Linked DNA regions of Macaca fascicularis. Each later gene encodes a partner of the first gene's protein in a complex. Links are inferred from orthologs where the notes say so. Each region holds a gene or a part of one and is shown in the gene's direction. Other genes may lie near its edges.

What was found.
Region 2: TBL1X (region 1) and ZER1 share a complex: the UniProt entries of both Homo sapiens proteins name them as parts of the E3 ubiquitin ligase complex. The link is inferred for Macaca fascicularis from reciprocal best matches to the Homo sapiens genes TBL1X and ZER1.
Region 3: TBL1X (region 1) and ZYG11B share a complex: the UniProt entries of both Homo sapiens proteins name them as parts of the E3 ubiquitin ligase complex. The link is inferred for Macaca fascicularis from reciprocal best matches to the Homo sapiens genes TBL1X and ZYG11B.
Region 4: TBL1X (region 1) and CORO2A share a complex: the UniProt entries of both Homo sapiens proteins name them as parts of the N-Cor repressor complex. The link is inferred for Macaca fascicularis from reciprocal best matches to the Homo sapiens genes TBL1X and CORO2A.
Region 5: TBL1X (region 1) and GPS2 share a complex: the UniProt entries of both Homo sapiens proteins name them as parts of the N-Cor repressor complex. The link is inferred for Macaca fascicularis from reciprocal best matches to the Homo sapiens genes TBL1X and GPS2.

What each region holds. Positions count from the first base shown.
Region 1 is NC_088395.1:9,142,744-9,148,579, forward strand, and holds the start of TBL1X (F-box-like/WD repeat-containing protein TBL1X), read left to right. Parts: upstream 1-2,143; 5' UTR 2,144-2,366; intron 2,367-3,916; exon of another isoform or gene 3,917-4,354; intron 4,355-4,921; exon of another isoform or gene 4,922-5,364; intron 5,365-5,836. UniProt on the Homo sapiens protein: F-box-like protein involved in the recruitment of the ubiquitin/19S proteasome complex to nuclear receptor-regulated transcription units. Plays an essential role in transcription activation mediated by nuclear receptors.
Region 2 is NC_088389.1:15,181,576-15,187,574, forward strand, and holds the start of ZER1 (protein zer-1 homolog), read left to right. Parts: upstream 1-2,317; 5' UTR 2,318-2,492; intron 2,493-2,912; exon of another isoform or gene 2,913-3,259; intron 3,260-5,999. UniProt on the Homo sapiens protein: Serves as substrate adapter subunit in the E3 ubiquitin ligase complex ZYG11B-CUL2-Elongin BC. Acts to target substrates bearing N-terminal degrons for proteasomal degradation with the first four residues of substrates being the key recognition elements.
Region 3 is NC_088375.1:181,984,232-181,990,210, reverse strand, and holds the start of ZYG11B (protein zyg-11 homolog B), read left to right. Parts: upstream 1-2,418; 5' UTR 2,419-2,619; coding exon 2,620-2,649; intron 2,650-5,979. UniProt on the Homo sapiens protein: Serves as substrate adapter subunit in the E3 ubiquitin ligase complex ZYG11B-CUL2-Elongin BC. Acts to target substrates bearing N-terminal degrons for proteasomal degradation with the first four residues of substrates being the key recognition elements.
Region 4 is NC_088389.1:59,997,956-60,003,276, forward strand, and holds part of CORO2A (coronin-2A), read left to right. Parts: coding exon 1-97; intron 98-442; coding exon 443-533; intron 534-1,864; coding exon 1,865-2,139; intron 2,140-3,790; coding exon 3,791-3,922; 3' UTR 3,923-5,321.
Region 5 is NC_088390.1:7,368,705-7,374,726, reverse strand, and holds GPS2 (G protein pathway suppressor 2), read left to right. Parts: upstream 1-2,443; 5' UTR 2,444-2,497; exon of another isoform or gene 2,498-2,573; intron 2,574-2,714; 5' UTR 2,715-2,783; coding exon 2,784-2,877; intron 2,878-3,237; coding exon 3,238-3,347; intron 3,348-3,431; coding exon 3,432-3,544; intron 3,545-3,675; coding exon 3,676-3,755; intron 3,756-3,846; coding exon 3,847-3,929; intron 3,930-4,110; coding exon 4,111-4,264; intron 4,265-4,362; coding exon 4,363-4,452; intron 4,453-4,541; coding exon 4,542-4,621; intron 4,622-4,708; coding exon 4,709-4,804; intron 4,805-4,988; coding exon 4,989-5,072; 3' UTR 5,073-5,168; downstream 5,169-6,022. Other genes in the region: NEURL4 (neuralized-like protein 4), read left to right, coding at 60-172, 263-428, 1,504-1,708. UniProt on the Homo sapiens protein: Key regulator of inflammation, lipid metabolism and mitochondrion homeostasis that acts by inhibiting the activity of the ubiquitin-conjugating enzyme UBE2N/Ubc13, thereby inhibiting 'Lys-63'-linked ubiquitination.

The sequences.
Region 1 (5,836 bases):
CATTTCTTTGTAGTGCTGAGTAATATTCCACTATGTGGGTGAGCCACAGTTTGTTTGTCCATTCGCCTATTGAAGGATACTTTGGTCGCCTCCAGTGTTTGGTGATTATGAGTAAAGGTGCCATAAACCTCTGCATGCAGGTTTTTGGAGGATGTAAGTTTTCAACTTAGTTGGGTAAATACCTAGGAGCACAACTGCTGACCGTACGGTAAGACTATGTTTGGCTTTGTAGGAAATTGCTGAACTGTCTTCTGAAGTAGCTGTACAATTGTGCATTCCCAATAGCAACAAATGAGAGTTCCTGTTGTTCTGTATCCTGTCAGCATCTGGGATTGTCAGTTTTCTGAATTTTAGCCATTCTAATGTATGTAGTAGTAGCTCATTGTTATTTTAATTTGCAATTCCCTAATGATACATGATGTTCAGCATCTTCTCGTATGCTTATTTGCCATCTGTATATCTCTGATGAGATTTTTTTCTGATTGTTTGCTCTTTGATTCAGTTGTTTATTTTCTCATCGTGGAGTTTTAAGAATTATATATATACACACGCACACATATACACATATGTACATATATATGTACACACACATACACACATATACACACACACACACACTTGAAAAAATTAGAGACAAGTTCTTCTCTGTTGCCCAGGCTGGAGTGCAGTGGTGAGATCATAGCTCACAACAGCCTCCAACTCTTGGCCTCAAGCAGAGTTTTACAGGTGTGAGCCACTAAGCTGGCCTGCATATTTTAAATACAATCCTTAATCAGATATGGAATTTGCAAATATTTTCTCCCATTCTGTGACTTGTCTTCTCATTCTCTTAACAGTGTCTTTTGTAGACTTTTCAAATTTTAGTGATGCCCAACTTACTGTTTTTTTTCTTTTATGCATCATGCTTTTGGTGTTCTAGCTACACAGTCATTGCCAAACCCAAGGTCATCTAGATTTTCTCCTATGTTATCTTCTAAGAGTTTTTATAGTTTTACCTTTTATGTTAGGGAGTATGTTCTATTTTAAGTTAATTTTTGTGAAAGATATAAAGCCTATGTCTAGAATTTTTTTTTTTTTTTTTTTTGCATATGGGTGTCCAGTTGTTCCAGCACCACTTGTTAAAAAGGATGAATTGCCTTTGCTCCTTTGTGAAAGATTAGTTGAGTATATTTGTGTGAATTCCTACTGCCTTTTAATTAAAATTTTGGGTACTGTATATGGGGAATGCTGGTGGTATTTGTTGCAAGCAGATTCTTGTTTTCCCCTCCCTCCAGTCAATAACTGAAAATAAGTGTTTGCAACACACACACACACACACGCACACACGCACATGGCTAGTGCAGTGGGTATCTGTGTACATCATTGTGGACCCCTCGCCCTGTTATCCTTCAGCTTTCTCAGAATACACTAGCTCCTTCCGGCTGTACTTTATTTCCTTGTTTTCTCCCACCTTATAGGACTGCACATTTGAAAAATCGTTGAAACAGATTAAATAACACAGTCTAATTATCACCTACCGTACAGCCCATCTAGCATTTCAAAAAGAGGAATTTTGGTGAGTTCATGATAAATGTAGGCGGTCTCTCTTCCTGTCTTAGGTCTTACAGTGTCCTTTGGGGCCCTGTGAATCTATGATAAAAGATATTGACTCTTTACGGGTAATAAGGCCGGTGGGATTATTGGGCTATTACCAACCAGTCAAGATGAATTCTGAGCTCTTTTGCTTTGTCAGTTACAGGAGATCAGCTATAAATCCTGGCCACACAGTGCTCCAGTTTGAGAGTGATGATTTCCACCACTTTCCCATACTTTAAAAGATTGGCATCTGCCAAGTGATCAAAACACACAAAGAGGCCTTTTAACCAAGTTTAGCTTGAATTTCCAGTTGCTAACCACAAGCAGGTCTGGCAAGCTAGGAGGCCGGTTGGCTGCGCAGCTACTCCAGAGTGTGCGGTAGCCGAGGGCTGCGTCCGCGTAAAGCCCAGAGCTGTAATGATGTCAACTTGTTATTTACTTTCCAAATCTGAATGACTGAGCAAGGCGAAAGGAGAATCAATCAACCACAATGTGACCCTACAGGCGGAAAAAACGCAGCGCTCCCACCAGCAGGCGGTGGGGGAAGGGAAGCACGTGTAGCCAGGGCAGGGTTGCATCATGAGCTCTTTCGCTCGGGTTTTCTATTGCACCCTTCGTTTTTCGATTGCATGTAATAGTCAGCATCAGTCTGCACAAGCCCAGGGAGCCCGGGAGCAACGAAGGGCAGGCTCAAGGGAAGGCCCCACCAAGTCCTTCTGGGGGGCCTTGAATGGCAACTGATACGTAATAAGACACAATCTATTCTGCTGATTCACAATTATGGAGACTGTGTAAGTGTGTATTTTTTTTATTGATGTCCTCTAATGATGGTGTAGCAACAGTCATTTTGCATCATTGACGTTTTACGGCAATATTTTGCAGGGTAATTTTGAGGTCCGCCTTTTTGATGGAGGACCGGCCTCTTAAAAACTCACCTCCGGCCGGGCGCGGTGGCTCACGCCTGTAGTCCCAGCACTTTGGGAGGCCGAGGCCGGCGGATTGCCTGAGGTCAGGAGTTCGAGACCAGTCTGGCCAATATGGTGAAACTAAAACTACTAAAAATACAAAAAAATTAGCTGGGCGTGGTGGCGTGCGCCTGTAATCCCAGCTACTCCGGAGGCTGAGGCAGGGGAACTGCTTGAACCAGGGAGGTAGGTGGAGGTTGCAGTGAGTCGATATCGTGCCACAGCACCCCAGCTTGGGCAACTGAGCGAGACTCCGTCTCAGAAAAACAAAAACAAAAACAAAAACCTCACCTCGGGTCCCCCTCCCCCCACAACCAGAACAACAAATGGTCTAGTGTTCGAGGAAGAGCAAGTAAGGTTATAGTTTAGATTGCTGAGTGCACCGGACTCTTAGCACGAAGCTCATTATATAGTAAAGGAAGGGGCAAGAATATTTGAAAAATATTCAACAAGGCTGACCCCAGAGGTGCTGGGGAGGGGGAGTGGAGATCTGTTTAACTGAATTAAGGCCGCGAGTGGTGGGGAGTAGCCTACGTGGAGGGGAGGAAGGAGCGCTGGGGACTTAAGTGCACCGGGGCCAGGCCGTGTAAGCCATTGCAACATTAAGCACTTTGCAAGGCCCAGAGGGCTGAAGCCTGGGGGTTGGGGTGGGAGTGCTGAGGCCCGAGGGCCCAGGTCCCCCTAACCTCCTCAGCCCCCACACCCGAGCTCCTGGCGCCTATGCTTGTGTGTCTGAGTTTGTCCCTAAGCGTTTCTGGCTCTTCCTGGGAGGTGTTTTGCAAAGGTCGAGGCTCCGCCGGAGCCCCCACTTTTTGAGGTGGGGTAAAGACTACTGGGGTGTCTTCTAAGACGCTTATTTTGAGGGAGATTCACCATCGGGCAGGTGGCAGGGGGTTCTCTTGGGGCAGCTGGGTGGCTTCCTTATTGGGGTGGGGGAGGGTAACACTTTAGCAGGGACCGAGGTTCCCCTGCCCCCCCGAAACAGAGGGGGTGGCCGAGGTTCCCGTCCCCTCGAGGCAGTCGTGGAAAGGCTGGGTTTGGGATGTGATGGGGGTAGCCCTGGGGTCCTCTCAGTCCCACGGAGGCCACGGGGAAGGGACCGGGACCGGAGCAACTCGGGAAAGGCTTGGGTTCCCCTCACCCACCCTAGGCGTTGGGGAGCGGGGCGGGCTTGGTAGGGACGCTGGTCCCCCGACCGTGGGGCAGGGGCTGGGTTGGGACGCGGGTCCCCTCTAGGAGCCGCGGGGGAGGGGCAGGGCCGGAGTCCCTACCCTCGTGGGGGAGGGGCTGGTTCGGGACGCGGCTCCCCCGGGGCTCAGGGGCGGGGCTGGGTGGGACGCCGGGTGCCCTCCCACGGCCGTGAGGGAGGGGCTGGCGGAGGGGGCGGACCCCTGGCGGTAGTCCTGGTTGGGGTCCGCGCGCTCGCGACCGCTCCCCGCGGAGGTCACTGCCCGTGCCAGTCCCTCCCGCTGTTCCGCCCTCTCCCGCCGCCGCCGCCGCCGCCTCCGCCGCCGCGCCCGGCTCAGCGGCCCCACTCCGCGCTCGGGAGCGAGGAGTCGCCAGCGCCCCCGCCGCGCCGCCGCCGCAGCGCCCTCCGGCCGCCATTCGCCACCGAAACTTTCCAGCGCCCGCGCCCTCTCCGGGACTCGGCGGCGGCGGGGCGGGGGCGGCCCGGGGGCGGCGCGCGGCTGCTCCAGGGCGCCGGGCCCTCTTCGGCCGCCGCACGGCCGGGGCTCGGAGGCTGCCGGCCGGAGGGAGGTTCGGAGCGCGGCCGGGCGCGCGGCGCCGCCACAAGTTGCGCTGTTCGCGGCGAGGTGAGTGCGCGGGGCTCGGCGGGCCGGGCGCGGGGTCCGCAAACTTCTGCGGGGAGGCGGTTCCCGCGCTGACCCTCCAGGGTCTGGCCGGCGACTCGGGGCGCCCGGACGCTCCACCCGCCCCTGGAACTACAGGAGGCGCAGGTCGCCAACTGTCCCCGTGGCGCTCGGACTGGGGTGCGGCGCGCTCCCAGGAGGCTGAACAATACCCCGAGGTGGCCGCTCCCCAAAGTGCCGGCGCGCCTTGCGGGGAGAGACAGAGGTCGGCGGGGGGCTCCTTTGTTTTGGGGAGGGGTAGGTGACCGGTAAGTTTATGGAAGAGCTCGGCTTTTCCTCTGGTGCCCCTTTGTCTGCCGATCTTGGGGCTTGCTGGGCAAACCTGCGCCACCGCGGGCTCGGGGGACCGGGGTGGAGGGCGGTGGCGGGATTTCCCCGCTGTTGGGGAGAGGAGCCCCATTCATCCCCGGGAAGCGGGCCGGCCCGCCCGGACCCGGGTGGAAGCGCAGCCTTACGAAGTGAGGCAAGCGGCGGGCGAGGTGGCGCGGGCCCCGCGTCTGCTCAGTTTCTGAGGCGCAGAAACTGTCAAGGAAGTCAGGAGCCCCAGTCCTCCGCCCATCTCCCCGGCCCGAGCGCACAGCTGGGCTGGGGACACCCCTGGCCGGTCGAGGGTCTGCAGAGCGCCGCCCGGAGAGAGCGCAGACCTGTTGCTGCTCCTGGGCTCTGGCGGGGCGGGTGGGGTGGGTCTCGCAGATCCTGGGCCCCGGCCTTGCTACCCAGGAGGACCTTCCCTAAGGATGGGACCGGTGCTCGGAGTGGGGTATGGGGAGTGCGCCTTCGGGAATCAGCGCTGGCCGGATATGTGACAACTGTGGGTCGCTGGAGGCCCGCCTGCGCTGGGATAGGGCCTGGACCTCACGTGCGTCGCCTGTGCTCAGTCAGACCGGGGCCGGGACTCGCTCCCTGCAAGGCCTCGTGTTCCCCCAGCCAGCTGCGTTGGACGTTCCACAAAGGTAGGGACTGACGTTTATTTTCCAGTCAGTGATGTTCTGGAGCAAAACCTGAAAAGAAACAAAAACCTATCCTCTATTGTATTTGCGACTGTTTCTGCTTTGCATTGTCATGTGTGACTTGACCTGCCTTCTGGATGTTTTCCTCTCCTGACACATTCGCCGAGCCCCTGGTTTCACCTGGAAGGCGAGGGGGAAGGACGGCAACCTCCCTGCTAAGGTCCCAGGCAGTGGCTTTGGTGTCGGAAGTGGCACTTGAGGATTTTATGAAAAGTTTACAAGTCTTTCCTAGAAAAGATGTGATTAGGAAAAATAAAATACAGAAGAATGTTCAGTATGACGCGTTTATTTTAAAGGGTAGTCATGTCTCAAATGTGCTGCAGATTCTTGTGGAAAGCCACCAAGCTGGGTAACTAATACAGACAACGAGTTTTTCACCGCTGGATCACCGGCCCTTAAGGCGATTCCAGCCCTT
Region 2 (5,999 bases), on another chromosome or scaffold:
CAGTCTGGCCTTAGCCTCCCAAGTAGCTGGGACTACAGGCAGTTGCCACTACACCTGGCCTTTTTTTTTTTTTTTGTATTTTTAGTAGACACAGGGTTTCACTGTGTTGTCCATCTGAGGTGTTGTCCACCTCAGCCTCCCAAAGTGCTGAGATTTCAGGCAGGAGCCACCACGCCCTGCCTAGACGCTCTTTTCTTGAGGAACCCTTTCTTGACAGGTGCCCCCCTCCATTCCAAGAACTAAGTTTGTGGATTTTTTTTCTTGCATAGTACCTTTTAATCTTTGACCACCTACAGCTATGTTCGTACAGTCTTGAATCCTTAAAAAAGCTGTTGGGCTTGGCGCAGTGACTCACAACCTATATTCTCAGCAGATGGGGTTGTCGAGGCTGAGGCTTAAGCCCAAGAGTTGGAGATCAACCTGGGCAACATAGGGAGACCTCATTTCTACAAAAAATACAAAAATTAGCTGGGCATGGTGGTGCGCACCTATAGTCCCAGCTATTCGGGAGGTTGAGGTTGAAGGACTGCTTGAGCCTAGGAGGTGGAGGTACAGTTTTACACTCCTTTAGATATAATCAGAGAGACAATAACGATTGTTGATGAGGATGTGACTATATGGGAACTCTCATATTAATACATCACTTGGGCCGGGCGTGGTGGCTCACGTCTGTTATATCAGCATTTTGGGAGGCCGAGGCGGGCAGATCACAAAGTCAGGAGTTCGAGACCAGCCTGGCCAACATGGTGAAATCCCATCTCTACTAAAAATACAAAAGTTAACTGGGTGTAGTGGTGCACGCCTGTAATCCCAGCTACTTGGGAGACTGAGGAAGGAGAATCACTTGAACCTGGGAGGCAGAGTTTGCAGTGAGCCAAGATTGTGCCATTGCACTCCAGTCTGGGCAACAAGAGTGAAACTCCGTTTCACAAAAAAAAAAAAAAAAAGCCCAGTTTGTGGCTCACGCCTGTAATCCCAGCAGTTTGGGAGACCGAGGTGGCCTGATTGCCTGAGCTCAGGAGTTCGAGACTAGCCTGGGCAACACCAGGAAACCCTGTCTCTACTAAAATTAAATAAAATAATAATAATAATAGGCCGGGTGTGGCAGCATGTGCCTGTAGTCCCAGCCACTCTGGAGGCTGAGGCAGGACAATTGTTTGAACTCGGCGGGGGGCGGGGGGGAGGTGGAGGTTGCAGTGAGTGGAGATCAAGCCACTGCACTCCAGCCTGGGCAACACTGCGAGACTGTCTCAAACAACAACAAAAAAAGAAAGAAAACAGAAAACAAATAGGAAATAAGAAACAAATAGCAGACCGGGCACTGTGGCTCACGCCTGTAATCCCAGCAGTTTGGGAGGCCAAGGCAGGCAGATCACAAGGTCAGGAGATCGAGACCATCCTGGCTAACACGGTGAAACCTCGTCTCTACTAAAAATACAAAAAATTAACCGGGCGTGGTGGTGGGCACCTGTAGTCCCAGCTACTCGGGAGGCTGAGGCAGGAGAATGGCGTGAACCCAGGAGGCGGAGCTTGCAGTGAGCCAAGATCGCACCAGTGCACTCCAGCCTGGGCTACAGAGAGAGTCTCCGTCTCAAAAAAAAAAGAAAAGAAACAAATAGCAAAATGGACTTAGAGTCAACCAGGAAAATAATCACAGTGAATGTAAAGGTCTAAACACTTCAAGTAAAAGGCAGAGTTTCTCACATTGGATAGAAAAGCAAGCCCCGGGCTGGTGCCTGTAATCCCAGCATTTTGTGAGGCTGAGGTGGGCGGATCACCTGAGGCCAAGACTTTGAGACCAGCCTGCCCAACATGGCGAAACCCCATCTCTACTAAAAATACGAAAATTAGCTGGACGTGATAGCAGGCGCCTGTAATCGCAGCTACTTGAAGGCTGAGGCAGGAGAATTGCTTGAACCCGGGGAGTTTGCAGTGAGCTGAGGGCCATTGCCCTCCAGCCTGGGCAACAAGAGGGAAACTCCGTCTCTCAAAAAAAAAAAAAAAAAAAAAAAGAAAGAAAGAAAGGAAAAGAAAAGAAAAAAATATAAATCCAGAAAAGAAATGATGGTGTTTTGAGATGGAGTCTCCCTCTGTCGCCCAGGCTGGAGTGCAGTGGTGCGATCTCAGCTTATTGCAACCTCTGCCTCCTGGATTAAAAGGATTCTGCTGCTTCAATCTCTTGAGTAGCTGGGATTACAGGCGCGCACCACCACGCTCGGCTAAACTTTTGTGTTTTTAGTAGAGACGGCGTTTCACCGTGTTGGCCAGGCTGGTCTCCAACTCCTGACCTCAGGTGATCCGCGTGCCTCGGCCTCCCAGAGTGCTGGGATTACAGGCGTGAGCCACGGCGCTCGGCCAGAAGGGACTGGTTTGAGAGGATCCTCAGGACTTGGAGACTGGACAAGGGGCCCAGGGAAATGCAGGGGCCGACGTCGCCTCCCAATTTCCCATCTGGAAGCTCGGTTGCCTGGTGGCTCATGCCCTAGATGGAGGTTAGTAGCACGTTTTGGGGGACGGTGATGACTGCGGGTGGACACGCGATTGTGAGCCACCCGTGGAGAACGCAAGACATGTTCAGTAGGGCGCTGGATGGAGGGGGCTGGCGCCCAGTCAGTCCTGCCCTTCAGCAGTGTTGGGCTCAGGTGAACCGCAGCGCCCGGGCGGGCACTGATCCCGGGGTCCCACGAATGGGCCCCTCGGAGGCCAGGGAGAGCCCTGAATGACGCGTTCTCTCAGGCGGCCTGGGGGCGTACCCGGCGGCCTCCTCCACCGGCCTAATGTGCCGGGCCCGGGAAAGGAGCCGCCCGCCGGTCGCCGGAACCTTCCGCCGTCGCCGCCCGCGTTAGCCGCGGGACTAATCGGGGGAACCCGTTCGCTGTTGCTAAGGGGCGGCCCCGGAAGTGACGCGCCCCAGGTTTGTTGACAGCGGAGGCGGCGGCGGCTGCAGCCTCCGAGCCGTAGGAGCCGGATCGGGGGAGGGGCCGGGCCCGGGAGCCTCAGCCCCGCCGGCAGCCCTGAGGGCAAGGTAACCGCCACGGGGTCCCCGTCGCGACCCCCTTCCTCCCGGAGCTCCCGTCCCCGGGATCCCAAGCTCCGCCCCGCCGACCCCCGTCTCCCCTGGACCCCGGGTCTAGCCTGACGAGATCCCCAACCTCCTGAGGTGCTCTGGCCCCGGATTCTCCTGGGCTGCATTCTCCGCTCCTCCTCGCCTGCGAAGCATCACGTCCGCTTCCCGACGCTGAGGGCAGCCCCATCCAGGGTAGGTCCCGTACCCCGGGCCAAGGGATGTACCTGCGTCCTCCTTCGTCTCCTGCCTACTGGGCCTAAGCATCGCCGCTGCAACCACTCTCTGAGGTCCATCTTGGCCAGTGGTGGGAGGGCTCCTTTCTCTATCCCTGCCGCCAGGTCTGAGAATCGTGTCTTTAAAACTGAGCTCCCTTCCTCCAGAAAGAAAATGACGCTCTGTCGTTTGCCCCTACAAGATGGGGGATCGGTGTAGGCTGAAAGGGCCACCCTCTGCCCCTCCTACCTGTTGGATGAGCTTAAGTTCCCCCAGAGAAGTGCTTAGAAGCTCAGGGACGACTTGGATTCTGGATCAGCTCCCAAAAGGGATGACACAAAGTATAGGGAAATCCAACAGGGTGAGGTTGCAACCGGAGGGCCAAGGGAGCCGGCCCGACAGGTGAGTTGATAGTGAAACTGACTGTGCTGGCCACTATGGCTCTGTGGGTGGATCTTGTCTTGGCTGCTCTTTGACCGAAAGAGCCGCAGGTCTCCAGTCTTTGCCTGTGTTTGTAAGTCCATTCGTTTTGTTTTGTTTTTCTTTTCTTCCTTTTTTTTTTTTTTTAAATAGAGGTGGGGTATCACTTTGTTACCCAAGCTGGTCTCGAACTCCTGGGCTTGAGTGATCCGCCCCCTCCAGCCTCCAAAAGTGCTGGCAATACAGGCTTGAGCCACCGCGCCCGGCTAGTGCATTTGATTTTTAAGGGGAGGGGAATATCTGATGTCTTGGGAAAATCCTCCCATATATGATCTTTCACAGAATGTTTCTCTTCAGGCTTCAAACTGGTGAGGATGAACATGAAAGCATAGCTTTGAAAAGGGTCACAGGAGGCTATACTTAGAGCAGAAAGTGGTGGCCGGGGTGAAGGGCCTGGCTACTTTGGTTCATTTGTTCATTCAGCAAATAATAAACATGATATGTAAGGTGGTAATAAGTGCTTTGGAGAAAAATAAAGAAGGAAGGACTATGGGGATGGAGTTGGGAGTTGTCTTTTTATAGAGGGTGTTCAGGGAAGGCCTCTAGTAAGGTGACCTTTGAGCAGAGATAAGTGAGGGAGCAAGCCAGGTAGCTCTCTTGTGGCAGAGCATTCCACAGCAAATGCAAAGGTCCTGTGGTCATATGCCTGGTGAGTTGAAGAAACAGCACGAGGGCCAGGCACAGTGGCTCACGCTTGTAATCTCAGCACTTTGGGAGGCTGAGGCAGCTGGATCACCTGAGGTCAGGAGTTCAAGACCAGCCTGGCCAACATGGTGAAACCCCATCTCTACTAAAAGTACCAAAAAAATTTAGCTGGCCGTGGTGGCTCATGTCTGCAATCCCAGCTACTCAGGAGGCTGAGGCAGGAGAATTGCTTGAACCCGGGAGGTGGAGGTTGCAGGGAGCTGAGATTGTGCCGTTGCACTCCAGCCTGGGTGACAAGAGCGAGACTCTGTCTTAAAAAAAAAGAAAGAAACGGCCGGGCGCGGTGGCTCAAGCCTGTAATCCCAGCACTTTGGGAGGCCGAGACGGGCGGATCACGAGGTCAGGAGATCGAGACCATCCTGGCTAACACGGTGAAACCCCGTCTCTACTAAAAAATACAAAAAACTAGCCGGGCGAGGTGGCAGGTGCCTGTAGTCCCAGCTACTCCGGAGGCTGAGGCAGGAGAATGGCGTAAACCCGGGAGGCGGAGCTTGCAGTGAGCTGAGATCCGGCCACTGCACTCCAGCCTGGACCACAAAGCGAGACTCCGTCTCAAAAAAAAAAAAAAAAAAAAGAAAGAAACAGCGGGACGATGGGGGACTGGAGCAGGTTGAAGAAGGGGAAGAGTAGTTGGCAAGAAAGTCAGAGAACAGTGGGGACCAGATAATGGTGGGGAAGACATCAGGGGCTGCCCTTGTGATATAGGGCCACAGGGTGTCTAATGGGGACACCCTTTCAGAACTGTACTTGTTGAAGTGTCTGGTGGTTGGAGAAAATACAGATTTGTTTTAGATGACAAATGGCCATTGTGCTTGGGGCTTCGGTTATAAGTACCCTTCTTCCATCTTTGTAATGACCATTGATGGAATAAATACAAAGAATCATGGTCACAGAGAACTGCAATTAAATCAAGTTAAGTTATGCCGCGGCTTCCTGGTTGTGAGAATGTGGGCATGGGAGCTTTTTCCACCTCAATCTTCTCATCTGGAAAATACGGCAGGCTGGGCGCGGTGGCTCACACCTGTAATCCCAGCACTTTGGGAGGCAGGTGGATCACCTGAGGTCAGGAGTTCGAGACCAGCCTGGCCAACATGGTGAAACCTCGTCTCTACTAAAAATGCGAAAATTAGCTGGGTGTGGTGATGCATACCTGTAATCCCAGCTACTGGAGAGGCTGAGGCAGGAGAATCGCTTGAACCTGGGAGACAGAGGTTGAACTGAGCTGAGATCACGCCACTGCAGCACCCCAACCTGGGCGACAAGAGTGAAACTCCATCTCAAAAAAAAAAAAAAAAAGAAAAGAAAAGAAATTAGGGCTGTTGGATTAAATAAAATCATGGACTGAAGTGCTTAAATGCAATATTTCACACAAAGTGCTCAATAGCAGCCACACTGATGATGATGTGATGATGAGAAATGTGGGCATGTATGTCTGCCTCAGAGCCGTTCGTTTTAGCACTAGCTGGTGGTGTCACCAGCTCTAGCTGCCTCCATCAGTTAGCAGGATTTGAAGCAATATTGGGGAAGGCAAGAT
Region 3 (5,979 bases), on another chromosome or scaffold:
TTCATGTTGCTATAGCAATGAGAGGTAATAGCAGAAAAATAGTGATGTAGGCGAGAGGAAGAATTGCTGGATAGGTGTCTTTGAGAAAGTGATGTGGTATGAGATCTAGTACTTGAGCTTCTCAAAGTGTGATCAGTGGACTAGTGACCGTCTAGAAATGGTTTGTCACCAGTTTGTGACAGCAATTCAGAATTAATATTTTGAAACTTTTATAACAATTTGACAGAAAAATTTTATGTGTGCTGGATTTAATAATAAAAATTCTGCCTAGCATAGTCAAATTAATAGAGACAGAAAGCAGAACAGTGATGGCCGGGGATTGGGGGAAGTTAGGAATGGGGAGTTATTGTTTAATGAGTACAAGCTTTCAGCTTTGCAAGATAAAAAAGTTCTGGAGGCCTGGCACATCGGCTCACGACCGTAATCCCGGCACTTTAGAAGTCTGTGGCAGGAGGATTACTTGAGTCTAGGAGTTTGAGACAAGCCTGGGCAACACAGTGAGACCTTGTCTCTGCAATAAATAAATAAATAAATAACTAGCCAGGCATGGTGGTACGTGCCTGTAGTCCCAGCTGCTTAGGAGGCTGAGGTGGGAGGATTACTTCAGCCCAGGAGTTTGAGGTTGAGTGAGCCGTGATTGTGCCACTGTACTCCTGATGGGTGACACGGTAAGACCTTGTCTCAAAAAATAAATAAATAAAAGAAAAATAAGTTCTGGAGTTCTTGATGGGGATGGTTGTACAACAATGTGAATGTATTTAATACCACTGAGCTATACACTTTAAAATGGTTAAGCAGGTTTTAAAAAGTCTGGGCTTGCATTTTGGATGCTTGTTTTTAAATTTTAATTTTTTCTAGTAATTAATTTTACAGAAATTTAGTTTTGTGATTGGGGATAAAACCTGGGTCTTTTAGCACAGATGCTTGAGAACTGAGGAGGATTTGACATTAGCTAAAAGACAAATAATTCGCTTGCAGTAAGGAAAAGAAGGCAGAGAGTATCAAAGCAGAGTTACAGGTTAGTTGGAAGTCATGGTGGGTGCTGGGAACTTGTAGATGTTCTTTTTGGTTTGTTTGATTTTCTCATGAATTGGAAGCAAAATCATCAGCTAAATGAGGATGAGGGAGGAAGTGTTGGAGGTTTGAAGAGACAGGAGACTTGAAATAGTTATGTAGCAAGGTGGGAGAGTGTGTGAAACTGGAGAAATGTGGTAGGGTGGCCATGCATTATGGCCCCTTGACAATAATGATCTCAAATTTACGGGGAGTCAGTCAACCACTTTTGGCTTTTTCTCCACCCACTCCATTGCTGGAGTTCCGTCAGTACAAAGAAAGCAGAAAACGACTAGAGAAATGAAGGTAATACTGAAGAAATCGACTTCATGTACCTCATGTACCAAAACAGCTTAGATTCTATTAGATTCCATTTCATGATGGACAATAGAATCTAAGCTGTTTCAGGAAGAAAGTCAGTACATGAGGCCAGTGTGGGGAGGAATAGCGAAAAGGTAGTTGGATCAATGGATTTAGGGTCTTGGAGTTGAAGTTTTTGGAGTTGGAGTATTATCAGAGGGAGTGAGCTAGAAAGGAAGAAGGTTGTGGCCGGGCGCAACGGCTCACACCTGTAATCCCAGCACTTTGGAAGTCCGAGGCAGGTGGATCACCTGAGGTCGGGAGTTCGAGACCAGCCTGGCCAACATGGTGAAACCCCGCCTCTATTAAAAATACAAAAATTAGCCAGGCTTGGTGCCGGGTGTTTGTAATCCCAGCTACTCGGGAGGCTGAGGCAGGAGAATCACTTGAACCTGGGAGGTGGAGGTTGCAGTGAGCCGAGATCGCACCACTGCACTCCAGCCTGGGCAACAAGAGCGAAACTCCATCTCAAAAAAAAAAAAAAAAAAAAAAGAAAAAAAAAGAAAAAGAAAAAAAGAAAGGAAGAAGGTTGCGATGGGAGTTAGAGGATTAAAATTAAGATTGTAGAGAAGTTACAATTATTCGTATGAGCATGAGAGTGAGAGGCTGAGCCAAGAATGATCCCTAGAGAAGAATCTGCGAGGCCAGAGGATTGGAAGAATTAAGCGAATTTTGAAATCACCAAGAATTTTGACAATAGTAGTAATGAATGACAGTGAACCAGAAGCCCAAATCTTAAAGAATGATGATGAGTGACAGAGGGGTCTATAGGCGACCTAAGCGAGCGGTGCTCTAATCTCTTGTCATAATGTAATATTTAAAGCTCTTCATATTTTGAAGGGAGGCTAGGATTTAGGGGTGTGTTGCTCCTTTAAGGGTCTGGGAGGGGGAGAAACTACAGGTCGGGGTGGGGGGGGGGCGGGAGCCCTCGGCTGAGTCTGCGCATTGAGAGCGGAGGCGGGGCCAAGCGCGGGCTCGCGCGCCCGGGCGGGTCCTCGCGGGGGCGGAGTCTGCGCTCGGGTTCGGGCTGCGGCTGCGGCTGCGGCTGCGGCTGCTGCTGCTACACTTCTAGCTTAAGGGAAGGAGGCCGAGGCCTGGGCCAAGCCCGGAGCGGCCGCTCGCCGGAGCCTCCTGGAGCCTCCGCGCCGGCTCAGCCTGGGGGCGGGCTCCGGTCCGGCCCGCCGCCGCACCCAGGACGGAGGCTGCATGCCCGAGGACCAGGCCGGCGCAGCCATGGTGAGGGAGCAAGGCCTGCCCTAGCCGCAGCCGCCCGCCACCCTAGCCCCCGCCCGCCGCGCTAGCCCCTGCGGGCTTGCCCCTCCTTGTCTCTGGTGTCCCCTCGGGCTCCCTGCCTTTACCTCTTTCCCTCGTTACCGCCCCCTCGGTGTCCAGCTCCTCCTTGTCCGTGCTCCCCCATTCACCTGCTGGGGTGAACCCCTTTAGGTGACATCCACTGAATCTGCCTTCTCCCCGATGACATCCTTTTTATCACTCCCAGTGACAGCCTTTTTCGCATTCCTTTTGTCGCCCACTCCTTGTCCTTTAACCCTAACCCTTCCCTCCTTTCTCCTCTATCATTTTGCCTTTTTTTCCCTTATGTGAATTTTACTTCCCCCCCCTTTCCTCCCTATTTTTCGCTGCTCTTCCTTGCTCTTCTCACCCCTCTTCACCATTTTATCTCCACTGCCCCCTCCTCTCCGTGTTCCTTCTCCCCTTCGTCCTCTCCCATCCAGGTTTCCTCTTCCCTTATCGGATGTCCTCGCTCGGTTCGCTTTCGCAGCTGTCCCCATTTCCTTCTACGGGCTTCAGGGGTCTAAGCAGTAACAATTTGAGGACTGTTGCTTCCCGGGAGCTGTAGGTCGGGCAGATAGGGATTTGTAGGCTTGCTTCTTCCTTTTCGTTTTTGGAGGTATTGAAGAGATCCTGGAAGCCTATTAACTAGTGTCATTGCAAAACCGGAGTGGTGGTGTGTTACAGAGCAATGAAATGAGGGCCAGCATGCATACTGTGACCTCAGGAGAGATCTAGTCTTTTGACAGAAATAGCTAAAAAATGTTTCGAGTTTCTTTTTCTTTTTCTTTTTTTTTGAGCATCTTTTAATGTGGAGGTACAGCTGGAGAAATTTAAAAATACTTGTTTACAGACTTGACTATTATTACTTAAATGATTTGTTTTCATTTGGAGGCAGAGACCAAGGGCATTTGAAGACTGACAATCAGCTTGGCAGGTTGTGACTGTCTCTTTAAACCTTCTAAAGAGTTCATTTGTTTTGCTCTGTCTGCCTTTAGTTGGGAGAACCTTATATTTGCAAATTTTCTTTCTGTTTGAAAATAGGTTGAGGCTTCAGTTGGATTTTTTCGTTGAGTTGGGTTATAAGTGGTTTGCTGTACATTTATTGAAAACATTGCTCCAACATATGCAACAAGCTAAATTTTGGTCTCTGGGAGGAATAAGGCACAACTAAGTCCTGATAATTATGTTCCCCTAGGAGGTTAGTCAGTTTCTTTTTTTCCCTCCATCTGTTTTTTAGAAAAGTGATGTACTATTAAATTATTTAATCTATGAATTTTCCCTAACTCGCTCCTGCATTTTTAGTCTGTCATTTCCCTGTGTCTGTCTCCTTCACTTTCACACACTGTTATTGTATGCTAACCTGTTTCTCCCTGTGGAATGTAAGTTCTAGGTAGCAACCGTGCCTTACTTATTATTCCAAGTGCCCAGGCCAGCTAGGTGCTTGAATGATTCACTTTATGGTCTCATTTGCCACCTGACTAGTATAAACTTAAATTGAAATTTGAGGTAGCTAGTGGATTACACAGAAAGAGTGAGTCTGAGAATCGTCGTTTGGAGATGATCTTGCTCTGTGGCCCAGGCTGGAGTGCAGTGGCACAATCATGACTCTTTGCAGCCTTGAACTCCTGGGCTCAAGCAATCTTCTCACCTTAGCCTCACAAGTAGCTGGTACCACAGGCACGGACTACCATGCCCCACTAATTTGTTTTTTTTTTTTTTTTTTTTGAGACGGAGTCTCGCTCTGTCGCCCAGGCTGGAGTACAGTGGCGAGATCTCAGCTCACTGCAAGCTCCGCCTCCTGGGTTCACGCCATTCTCCTGCCTCAGCCTCCTGAGTAGCTGGGACTACAGGCGCCCGCCACCTCGCCCGGCTAGTTTTTTGTATTTTTTAGTAGAGACGGGGTTTCACCGTGTTAGCCAGGATGGTCTCGATCTCCTGACCTCGTGATCCACCCGTCTCGGCCTCCCAAAGTGCTGGGATTACAGGCTTGAGCCACCGCGCCCGGCCGCCCCACTAATTTGTAAAACTTTTTGTAGAAATGGAGTCTCGCTGTGTTGCCCAGTCTGGTCTTGACCTCCTGGATTTAAGCCATCCTCCCACCTTGGCCTCCCAAAGTGCTAGAATTACAGGCATGAGCCATCACGCCTGGGCAGAGAATCTTAATTTTGGTGCAAAAATGATATTGAGTGAGGTATGATGATATACTTTTCAGAATAAAGAGCCATCCTACCTAAGACATCACATTGCTAGATTTTTGAAAGTGTGGGCCCTTCCATTGAGAATGAATGTATGAGAGGGAGGAGTTATGAACTCCGCTTGAGGTATTTAGGATTCAAAAGTGTCCTTTGAGCTGGGCCTGAAAGTTGAATAGGGTTTTTATAGATCATTTTGGGAAGGGGAAGAATGCCTCATGAATATGAGTAGCAAGTAGAAAGGATGCCCTCACAGGGATTTTTTTTTTTTTTTAAAGAAAGAAAGTAGGAAGGAATTAGGATGCATTGTAGGAGGTAGTATTACCATTATATAGCATGGAAGGATGCAAGAATGAAGATGTGTAGTAGGAAATGAGGCAAGCAAGATATTGTCTTAGCCCATTCAATCTACTGTAACAAAATACCATAAACTAGGTAGCTTGTCAACAACAGAAATTTATTTCTCAGAGTTCGGAAAGCTGGGAAGTCCAAAATCAGTTCCCCAGCGGATTTGGTGTTTCATGAGGGCTGTTCCTGAGTCACCTTTTCACTGTTTTCACACATGGTGGCAGGGGCCAGGTGGCTCTCTGGGGCCTCTTTTATAAGGGCACTAATCCCATTCATGTGGGCACTACACTGGTGATGTAATCACCTCCCAAAGGCCCCACCTCCTCATACCATTACCTTGGGAATTAGGATTCCAACATATGAATTTAGGGAGACAGAAACATTCAGAACACAGCAGACATATTAGGCATGATTATGTTTTAAACTTTGCATCTAATTAACTTGATTTTTCCTTGATGGTTAAAACATGTACACACAGAGTAACAGTGTATGTATGGGAGACGTGAGGAGAAGGCAAAATATTAGCTTATTTTGAGCTAGGAATTATCAGTAGAGGCTACTTTTCCTAGTGCAGTATTTTTCGTAGATAATAAATACAGTTGAATGAATGGTTATTATAAAGCTTTGTATTTTATATTTGTTAATTTTTTTTTTTTTTTGAGGCGGAGTCTCGCTCTGTTGCCCAGGCTGGAGTGCAGTGGCGCGATCTCGGTTCACTGCAAGCTCCGCCTCC
Region 4 (5,321 bases), on another chromosome or scaffold:
AGGACTTGACGTGTCCTCCTGCGAGATCTTCCGCTTCTACAAGCTGATCACAACCAAAAGCCTCATCGAGCCCATCTCCATGATTGTGCCCCGGCGGGTAAAGGCAGTGGGGACCGCGTGGGAGGGAGGTGGGGAACCTGTCCTGGAGAAGACAGATCCAGGGCTGTCAGGTACCAGAGCATGGAGCCCACATTCATGGGGCAGCCACAGAGCAGCCTTTCTCACAGCAGGGTGACATCAGTGGGCGTCAGGAATCCTGGGTCTTGGCCCACCTCTGTTCTTGAGCTGCTGCGTGACCTCGGGCAAGTCCCTTTGTTCTCTGGGCCTCCGTTTCCTCAATTCAGCAGGGGTTGGGGAGAGCCTGGACTCCCAGCTCTAAGGGCCCTTCCCATCTGAGCAGCCTACCCTATCACCCTCCTCACTGTCTGGATTTCTCCTACAGTCGGAATCCTACCAAGAGGACATATACCCTCCAACAGCAGGGGCCCAGCCCTCCCTGACGGCCCAGGAGTGGCTCAGCGGGATGAATCAAGGTGAGGAAGACAGAGGAGAGGCCCAGACAAATGTGGCAGGAACGTGGAGTGCCCAATGGCCCCAAGCAACTGAGAGGGGTTGGGCCTGGATTTTTATTCTCTCATAACCTCAGAGGTCATGCCCTTGACCTTCAGTCCCCAGTGGGTAGCATGGTCACATACAGGTCCAGAAAGTCAGGGGGCTTGACCTGAGGGCTCAGGAAACTCCAGCTCAAGGGACTTTGCTCCATGGAAAGCTTCTTTACACTCTGAGGCTATGCGGGGTGCCTGGACCACCTTAGCCAGACTCCCCATCCCCGTTCCCCACCCCTAGCTCTGCAATTCTTTTTTTTTTTTTTTTTTTGGAGACAGAGTCTCGCTTTGTTGCCCAGGTTGGAGTGCAGTGGTACAATCTCAGCTCACTGCAACCTCCACCCCCACCCCCGCATTCAAGTGATTCTCATGCCTCAGCCTCCTGAGTAGCTGGGACTACAGGCACGTGCCACCATGCCCAGCTAATTTTTTGTATTTTTAGTAGAGATGGGGTTTCGCCATGTTGGTCAGGCTGGTCTCAAACTCTTGACCTCAAGTGCTCCACCTGCCTCGGAAAGTGTTGGGATTACAGGCGTGAGCCACCGTGCCTGGCCTTTTTCAATTCTTCTTGACCCAAGAAGTCCTCCAGGCAGCAACCCCCACCCAGGTCCCTCTGCCTGCCCTGCCTGTCCTGAGCCACTCTCCTGCTCCTGCCAACATGAAGGCCAGCCCAGCGGAAGCAGCCACCCCAGCCGCTCCCTCTCCCTTCTACCCCCCAAACTTCCTTCACCCCCACCCCAGCGGCTGAGTGGGCCTCCTGGTATACTGGAAGAGCCTCTGCCTTGGGGGACAGGGAACCAGTGCCAAGTCGTAGTTCTGGATAACCTTAAGTAGGTTTTGCTCCCTGGGCCTCAGTTTCCTCATCTGTAGCCATGATGCCAGCCTCCCCTGCTTCTTGGAGGTGGTGAGAGAACTAATGGACTTGGTAGATGGCGGGGTGCAGTGTGGGTGGGACCGTCCTTACAAAGGAAGGGCAAGGTCTCACGTGAGCTTGAAGTGCTTGGGGGGCTGCTCCAGTGCACGCACCGTGCTGTTCCTACAAAACAAGCTTCACTTCGAGGGTGGCACATGTGGGTATTTGTATCTGGTAGCCCTGCTCTGTGGCTTTGTGCCTGTCCACATGTAGCTGTATTTCCCACACCTGTTGCATGGGTCAGCATGGCTCTGAGTATCTGTGCATGCTGCCTGTGTCATTGGTGCCCTATATGCCCATCTGCCCATGGGCACCCAGTCCTCACACAGCTCTGCTTCCCTTCCAGACCCAATCCTGGTGTCACTTAGGCCTGGCTCTGAGCTGCTGAGACCCCACCCACTGCCTGCAGAGAGACCTGTCTTCCATTCCATGGCCCCAGCCTCACCCCGGCTCTTGAACCAGGCAGAAAAGCTGGCTGCAGAAGATGGCTGGAGGTCTTCCTCCCTGTTGGAGGAGAAGACGCCAAGATGGGCAGCAGAGCACAGGCTGGAGGAGAAGAAATCCTGGCTGACAAATGGCTTTGATGTTTTCGAATGCCCCCCACCAAAGACAGAAAATGAGGTGTGAAGGAGAACGGGGTGGGCCTTTCACATGGGGCAGCTGGGGTGGAGGGCAGCAGATCCAGGCTGAGAAGAAGGGAGAAAATGAGGCATGAGAATAACCATCTGTGTGGCCTGGCCTGGTTGCTTGACTCATTTTGTTAATTCATTCAACAAACAGGCAGTGAGCTCCGTCTTATGCCAAAATAATGGGCATAGATAAAGATGGTGGGAGGCCAGGCATGGGGGCTTACGCCTGTAATCACAGCACTTTGGGAGGCCAAGGTGGGCAGATCACGAGGTCAGGAGTTCGAGACCAGCCTGGCCAACATAGTGAAACCCTATCTCTACTAAAAATACAACAATTAGTCGGGCATGGTGGCACGCACCTGTAGTCCCAGCTACTCGGGAGGCTGAGGAAGGAGAATGGCTTGAAACCAGGAGGTAGAGGTTGCAGTGAGCCAAGATCATGCCACTGCACTCCAGCCTGGGCAACAGAGCAAGACTCCATCTTGAAAAAAAAAAAGATGGTGGGGACCAGGTGCAGTGGCTCACACCTGTAACCCCAGCACTTTGGGAGGCCAAGGTGGGCGGATCTCTTGAGGCCAGAAGTTTGAGACCAGCCTGGCCAACATGGTGAAACCCTGTCTCTACTAAAAATACAAAAATTAGCTGGGTGTGGTGGTGCGTGCCTATAATCCCAGCTACTCTGGAGGCTGAGGCAGGAGAATCACTTGAACCCAGGAGGCAGAGGCTACAGTGAGCCAGGATCACACCACTGCACTCTAGCCTGGGCAACAGAGTGAGACTCTGTCTCAAAAAAGAAAGAAAGAAAGAAAGAAAGATGGTGGGAAACCATCTGTAAAATGAAGAGGGTTTGACCTGATGGATATCAAAGTTTTTCCAGTTCTGATATTATAGGATTTTCTGTGCTTTCAAAGTCCACATTTGTTAAGTGCCTACTGTGTGGCAGATCCTGGGGTAGGCACTTTGATATAGCATGTGATTGAATTCTCTCAACAGCCCTGGAAGTCAGTCTGAAGTGGCTAAGAACACAGAGGCCGGCATCTCACAGATGGATTCTGATCCTGGCTCTGCTGAGTACTAATTTAGGGTCTCAGACCCAGAGACTGAATGTCTCTAAGCTGCCGTTTCCACAGTGGTACAGTGGGGACACTGGCACTGCCACCCTTATAGGGGTGTCAAAATGTTCCAGTGGGATAACGAAGGCCCTTAGGGCATCACTCAACATCTAACACCTATTCTGCACAGCGGCAACAATTATGATAATGATGAGGGCAGTTTTCTGACCCCATTTCCCGGAGAAAGTAATGGAAGCTCAGAGTGGGTAAATAACTTGCCCAAGGTCACACAGTTCAGTGGTGGCATAAACACCAATCCCCAGACTTCAGAGCCAGGCATGCTTTCCTCTATTCCATGGAGGATCTCTGGAGGCAAAATACATCTGAAACATGCCAGTCTTCTTGAATTTCATTTACTGGGTGAAGAAAACAAGGTGTTTGTAAAAGATCTATGCAGTGACAGCCTCATCAGCCCTCTGCCGTGTTAATGTAACCACCTCCACCTTTCTGAGTCAAAGACGGATAGCAGTTTAGCTTTCAGCTGGTGTTCTGACACCCTGGTGATCCTGCCTTCCAATCTTTCTTCCCCAGTTACTGCAGATGTTCTACCGACAACAGGAGGAGATCCGAAGGCTCCGGGAGCTGTTGACCCAGCGAGAGGTCCAGGCCAAACAGTTGGAACTGGAGATCAAAAACTTGCGGATGGGCTCAGAGCAGCTCTGAGCAGAGACTTCTGCCCTCCTCACCCTCAGGGACACCACTCGGCTCCGTGGGGAGGTTTAGAACCAAACCACAGGTCCCCCTAAGAACAACCACTATTTCTATATTTTTTACCAGAAAACAAAACTCTCCATCGCTGAAAGAGATTCCAGTGGGACATGGTGCCGTTTTTCTATTTGCCTTCTTGCAGCAACAGTTTCTGAATTGACTTTGTTTTCAGACGATGCCTTCTGTTGAATTCTGTTATTAAGGGTCCATGATGAGCTGTAACTTCTCAAGAGGAAGAAACACAGTAGAAAACTAGAGCTGGAAGGACCTCGGTTGACCTGTCTGTGATTTTCAAACTGTGGTCCAGAGAATAGGGGAAGAGTGGGCCAGATGCAGTGGCTCATGCCTGTAATGCCAGCACTTTGGGAGGCTGAGGTAGGCGGATTGCTTGAGGTCAGGAGTTTGAAACCAGCCTGGCCAATATGGTGAAACCCTGTCTCTACTAAAAATACAAGAATTAGGCTAGGCGTGGTGGCTCACGCCTGTAATCCCAGCACTTTGGGAGGCCAAGGTGGGCGGATCTTCTGAGGTCAGGAGTTCAAGACCAGCCTGGCCAACATGGTGAAACCCCATCTCATACAAAAATTAGCTGGGCGTGGTGGTGCATGCCTGTAAACCCAGCTACTTGAGAGGCTGAGGCAGGAGAACCACTTGAGCCTGGGAGGCGGAGGTTGCAGTGAACCAAGATCATGCCACTTCACTCCAACCTGGGCAACAGAGTGAGACTCCGTCTCAAAAAAAAAAAAAAAAGAAAGAAAGAATAAAACTTAGCCAGCCGTGATGACAGGTGTCTGTAATCCCAGCTACTCAGGAGGCTGAGATAGGAGAATTGCTTGAACCTGGGAGGCAGAGGTTGCAGTGAGCCAAGATTGTGGACTGCACTACAGCCTAGGTGATAGAGCAAGACTCCATCTCAAAAAAAAAAAAAAAAAAAGAGAGAGAGAGAATAGGGGGAGACTAAGCAGGAAGGCTGTGTCTCCCTTCCCCACACTGTGTTCCAACCAGATAGCTCCCTTTTATTTTATATGTTGGGCTAATATGAAAAACAATTCTGCTAGTAAAAAAAAATTTTTTTAGAAGTTTGAAAACTAGTGATTTCACCCAAGTTCCTCATTTTACAGGTGGGGAAACTAAGGCCCAGAGAGAAGCAGGTGATACTTGTTTCATGGCAGGGCTGGGCTGAGATCCTGCTTTTCCGGGTCTGTCTTTTTGTTGTTTTGGGTCTGATGCAGTTCTCAGCCCACAGAGTAGAAATCTGTTGCTTCTGGCCTCAACTGTGCCCCAGCTTACTCAGTGACCTCTTGCAAGTCCTGCCCTCTCTGGTCTCAGTTTCTTCATCTGAACAAGGAGTACC
Region 5 (6,022 bases), on another chromosome or scaffold:
CTCCTCCACTGGGGAGCCAGTGTCCTTCGTTCTATCTGCCCCGCTTGTCCACCTCGTAGAGTGAATCCCCGCCTGGAGGCTGGGACACTAACCAAGAAGTGGCACATGGCCTATCATGGGAGCAATGTTGCAGCTGTACGGAGAGTGCTGGACCGAGGGGAGCTGGGAGCAGGTACTGGGGAGCAGGCCCATGCAAGGTGGGCTGAGCCTGGGGGGCTGTGGAGGAATAAAAAGGGCTATCTTGACCCAGTTCTCCTCCCAGGTACTGCTTCCATCCTGAGCTGCCGTCCTTTGAAGGGAGAGCCTGGGGTAGGGTTCGAGGAGCCTGGCGAGAACTGTGCACCTCCTCGGGAGGAGCAGCCCCCTCCTGTGCTGCTTTCCCCCTCCCTTCAATATGCTGGGGCCGAGACCCTGGCCTCCAAAGTGCAGTGAGTACTGGGAGGGGTGGGGAGAGATCTCCAGGGGCTCGGATGAAGAGGGCCTGAGCGCAGCCACTGGGGTCTTCATGATTTGCCCTCCCCTTTTCTCACCTCCTCTTGCTAGCTGCCAGTCTCCAACTCAGCCCTTTTTTCATTCATTGAACAAATACCACTTATATACTCTTCTAGTGGGCAAGAAAAGGAACCTTGCTCTTGTGGAACCTCTGCCTTTTCTCTCTATAATGTTCATACATAATAAGTATTTATTATTTATTTATTTATTTTTGAGACGGAGTCCTGCTCTGTCATCCAGGCTGGAGTGCAGTGGCATGATCTCGGCTCATTGCAACCTCCACCTCCCGGGTTCAAGCGATTCTCCTGCCTCAGCCTCCTGAGTAGCTGGGACTACAGGCGTGTGCCACCAAGCCCGGCTAATTTTTCTAGTAGAGATAGGGTTTTGCCATGTTGGCCAGGCTGGTCTCGATCTCCTGACCTCGTGAGCCACCCGCCTCGGCCTCCCAAAGCGCTGGGATTACAGGCGTGAGCCACCGCGCCCAGCCAGTATTTAGTATTTTTAAAGGTAATAAGTAAGGACTATGGAAACAAAGAAAGAGTGGGGCGAAGGAGACAGCAGTGTGGCTGGTGTGGGCATCGTAAGAAAGAGTGGGGCGAAGGAGACAGCAGTGTGGCTGGTGTGGGCATCGTAGGAAAGAGTGGGGCGAAGGAGACAGAAGTGTGGCTGGTGTGGGCATCGTAAGAAAGAGTGGGGCGAAGGAGACAGCAGTGTGGTTGGTGTGGGCATCGTAGGAAAGAGGGGGGCGAAGGAGACAGCAGTGTGGCTGGTGTGGGCATCGTAAGAAGGTGGGAGAGATTCGAGCAAAGGCTTGAAGAAGGAAGTGAAGGGTGTAGCTGAGCAGGCTTTGGGAGGAAGAACATTTCAGGTAGAAAGAACAGCTAGAGTGAAGCTCCTATAAGGCGGGAGTATTTCCTAGGTACAGCAAGGCTTGTGTGGTTGGAACAGACTTTGCAAGGGGGAGGTGATGGGGAGAGAAGCTTCACTCCCTTATTTTTTCCTGTTTGACAGATTCCGGGACCCCAAATCCCAGCGGACGCACCAGGCTCAGGTGGCGTTCCAGGTGTGTGTGCGCCCTGGCTCCTACACCCCGGGACCCCCTTCCGCTGCCCTTGGAGAACCTCCTGACCCTCACTTCAGTCCAGCCGAACTTGAGTGGGTCACTAAGGAGAAGGGGGCCACACTCCTCTATGCCCTGCTGGTACGGGTGGAATGAGGGGTGACACACAAATACTACAAGCACAGTCGGGCCTCGGGCCCATGGACTCTGGCGACTGCCTCCACCTCATTCCCGTGACTCGTGGCATGCGCAGGTGCTGGAGCTTGGCAGCCGCGCAGGAGCATGTAGGCAGGCTCTCAGATGTAGGTGGCAAGTGGCACAGCTCCATGTCTGGAGGCCCAGCACTCCGTCTGATGGGAGGAGCCGTGGGAGCCCAGCTCCAGGCCCTGGTACCCCTCTTCATGCACTGATTTGGGGAACATGACTCCCTTTTACTCCCCTTCCCCACATCACTTAATTTATTTCCGTTTTTGTTTCTGGTTACTGTGAATCCCAGAGGAGTCTCTCCCTGTGCCCACATGAAGCTGCTTTTTCCGGGGCCACCAGGCGGGAGTGGGGAAGGGTGGGCGCACGGAAGATGGGGGCCTCTGTACAGTTGTTACTGACTCTGATTTCTAAGGAGCCAATAAACACCGTCTCAGAGCCTCCGCCTCGGCCTCTCTCTCGCGCGCCCCTCCCCGGAGCCCGCGTCCCCTGGGGTGCCACCAGGTGGGCCCGCGAAATTAAAGAGAGCTGAGGATGCCAAGACCAGTTTACAGCCCTCGTCGCCCGCGTTCCCGGCTACGGGGTTTGGACGCCGCGGGCACCCGTCGCAGCGCGCTTCCGCTTTCTCTCACCCAACCCGTGAGGTCGGCCGCAGCCGTGACTCCGGAAGGACTTGGCCGGGCCGCCGGATGTGACGTACGGGCCAGGGCGCGCCGGAGCTGCTGAGAAAGCGCAGAGAAGGCGGGTAGGGAGGGCTGGCGTCCGGGCTGGCTGGGCAGGGAGCGGCAGCACCGAGTCGGGGATCCCGGCGCCGCCCGTGCGCGCGGTGGAGCGGGGGCTGCGGGCCCGGCCGGGTGGCGGGCTCCTGGGACACGTGACCGGGGCGGCTAGCGGGTCGGGCGGACGGGCTTCCGCCTGGGCCGGGCGCGGTCCCCTCTGAGCGCCCGCCTCCCCGCAGGCGCCGTCTGAGGTCTGGCAGTCAGAGACAGAGCCGGGCGCCCACGGCCCGAGCGCCCACGGCAGCACCATGCCCGCACTCCTGGAGCGCCCCAAGCTTTCCAACGCCATGGCCAGGGCGCTGCACCGGCACATTATGATGGAGCGGGAGCGCAAGCGGCAGGGTGAGCCGGGGCCATAGCGGGGGGACACACGGCCCAGAATGGCTCCTGTACCTCAGGGTTGGCCTCAACCCAGCGGCCAACCAGTGAGCCCGCTGCCGAGCGCAGAGGAGGGAAGGAATAGCCCCGTTGTGGTGGGATTTAAGCGTCCTGGTCCACGCTCCAGAACCCTTGAGACGGGAAGGACCTTGGAGAGCACCTGATAAAGCCTCTCCGTTCCCTATTGCAGCGATGGGGGAGCTTGTCCCCTCGAGGCAAAGAGCGCACAGGCGTGTTGGGATGACTGGGTTTTGCTGGTCTTCAATCTAACGTTGGAACTGTTTTCACTACCCTGCCTCTTCTTCATTCTGCCTGATTCTCCAGAGGAAGAAGAGGTGGATAAGATGATGGAACAGAAGATGAAGGAAGAACAGGAGAGAAGGAAGAAAAAGGAGATGGAAGAGAGAATGTCACTAGAGGAGACCAAGGAACAAGTAAGCAGTCCCTTGAACTCTCCCAGCTTTGATTTCTTCCCTTGACTCTCCCTGCCTTCATCTTCTCTTCCCACTCCCTCCCAGATTCTGAAGTTGGAGGAGAAGCTTTTGGCCCTACAGGAAGAGAAGCATCAGCTTTTCCTGCAGCTCAAGAAAGTTTTACATGAGGAAGAAAAACGGAGGCGAAAGGAACAGAGGTAGGATCAGAGTACTAAAAACTGAAATGGGGGCCAAGTGGAACTGGGATCAAGTAATAAAAGAACTAGTGTTTAATGGCGAAAGAGAAGGCATCTGTCCTTAGCTTTGACCTGCCTTCCTCTCACTCCAGTGACCTGACCACCCTGACATCAGCTGCATACCAGCAGAGCCTGACTGTCCACACAGGAACTCATCTCCTCAGCATGCAGGGTGAGGACTAAAGAGACCACCTGATGGAACCGGCCTTCTTACAGGTTGCAGCCTCCCATTTCAGCATCATGAAGCCCTTCTCCCTTTCTAGGGAGCCCTGGAGGACACAATCGCCCAGGCACCCTCATGGCAGCTGACAGAGCCAAACAAATGTTTGGACCCCAAGTGCTTACGGTGAGAGTAGGATTGGATGCCCAGCCCCTACTGCTTCCATCCATGCATCCTTGCCACCAGTATTCAAGTCACAAACATATCAAGCACTTAAGTTTAGGGGGAAATGGGGCATACAGATATACACAAGTCACTGGGTTTCAGCTTTCAAGTTTATAGGCGAATTCTCATTCTCCCTCCTTAGACCCGGCACTATGTGGGCTCAGCAGCTGCTTTTGCGGGGACACCAGAGCATGGACAATTCCAAGGCAGTCCTGGTGGTGCCTATGGGACTGCTCAGCCCCCACCTCACTATGGGCCCACACAGCCAGCTTATAGTCCTAGTCAGCAGCTCAGAGGTGAGTAATAGGAGGGATGGGGCTTGGCCTTCCTCAACGTCAAAGGAGGAATGCCGTTGAGTAAAAGGTTTTAATGGCTCTGTCTTTTCCTTTCTCAGCTCCTTCAGCATTCCCTGCAGTGCAGTACCTATCTCAGCCACAGCCACAGCCCTATGCCGTGCACGGCCACTTTCAGCCCACTCAGACAGGTGATAACATCCCATGCAGGAGCTCTAGCTCTCTGGGTCCTCCCCTCCCTGTTTCATTCTCATCTCACATGCCCCTCTTCCCCACGTAGGTTTCCTCCAGCCTGGTGGTGCCCTGTCCTTGCAAAAGCAGATGGAACATGCTAACCAGCAGACTGGCTTCTCCGACTCAGTGAGTATGGCATCTTGGGAGGTCAGGGTTAGGGATATGTTAAGGGGAGCATCAGTATGCCTCAGGCCCTGACTCTGTTCTCTGCAGTCCTCTCTGCGCCCCATGCACCCCCAGGCTCTGCATCCAGCCCCTGGACTCCTTGCTTCCCCACAGCTCCCTGTGCAGATGCAACCAGCAGGAAAGGTAAGAATGATAATAAAGTTTACCTGTCAGAATCCTTACACTAGGGATCCAGAAAAGCAGGATTAGGTAGGACCGGTGGCCCACATCACCTGGTTTTTCTTCCTCTCTGGGGGTGGTTACCAGTAGGGCATTAAGTGGGAGAGTACGCCCAGTGACAAAGCCCTCTTTTCATCACCACCGCCAGTCGGGCTTTGCAGCTACCAGCCAACCTGGCCCTCGGCTCCCCTTCATCCAACACAGCCAGAACCCGCGATTCTACCACAAGTGACGATCAGATTATATCTTCAACATCATGCCCCCTGCCCCACTGTGGGTGAGGATACCCCCCGTGTGTCCCAGGCCAATAAAATCTACCTGCCACTGACCCTGGCTGCTGCTGTTTGTGTTGCCTCCCACCCAACTGTCTGGAATAGGTCAAGGCTGCTTGGGGGGTGGGGGGATGACTGGCAGGTCCACAGCAAGTCAGTGATAGACAGCGGGTTCCATGAACTCAGTGGCAGAGTTCAGTCTTTTTGTAGCTTCCAAATATACCCATTTAATTCAAATAAGCAGCTGAGTTGGGGGCTTCATATTAAACTTGTAGTTTTATTCAGGTTTGATTTTAACAAATGTGTCGGGGAGAGAGCCCGCAGGGAAGGGTAAAGCCCACGGGGGCAGGGCCCTCCCAGATGCCTGAGGAGGGGGCAGGTCCCCTCCCCTCTCCTCCTCTTCCCTCCCCATCTAAAGGGGTTTGGGGAGAGACACAGGCAGGGGAGGGGGCTGGTCCCCAGTCTGTTGGGGTGGTGCTCAGGGTAAAGGGCTATGGGCAACAGGGGACCAGACCAGGGCTGAGTGGGGAGGGCACAAGGACCATTTGCCAGAATCCACCACTTTCTGATTCCAGATTGAATTAAAAAAAAAAAAAAAAAAAAAAAAAAAAAAAAAAAAAAGACTAAACCACAAGCAGCACCCACCCCCTTCTCCCCCACCAGGGCTGTAGTGTGAGGGGAGAAGAGGAGGGCAGCTTCACCAAGGCCACGGCTTCGCTTGCTCCTGGCCAAGGGAGCTAGGTGAAGGGGAGGGGCTCCCCGACAGATTGAAGGGGTGCAGAAAACCAAAATAAAACGTCAAATAAATTTGTGTAGGAGTCCAGCCTACGACCAGGCCAGAGCCAGGCCAGGCTGGGGGAGGGGGCCTCTGCAGGTTCAGAGGATCACTGCTGCCACCACCGCCACCCTA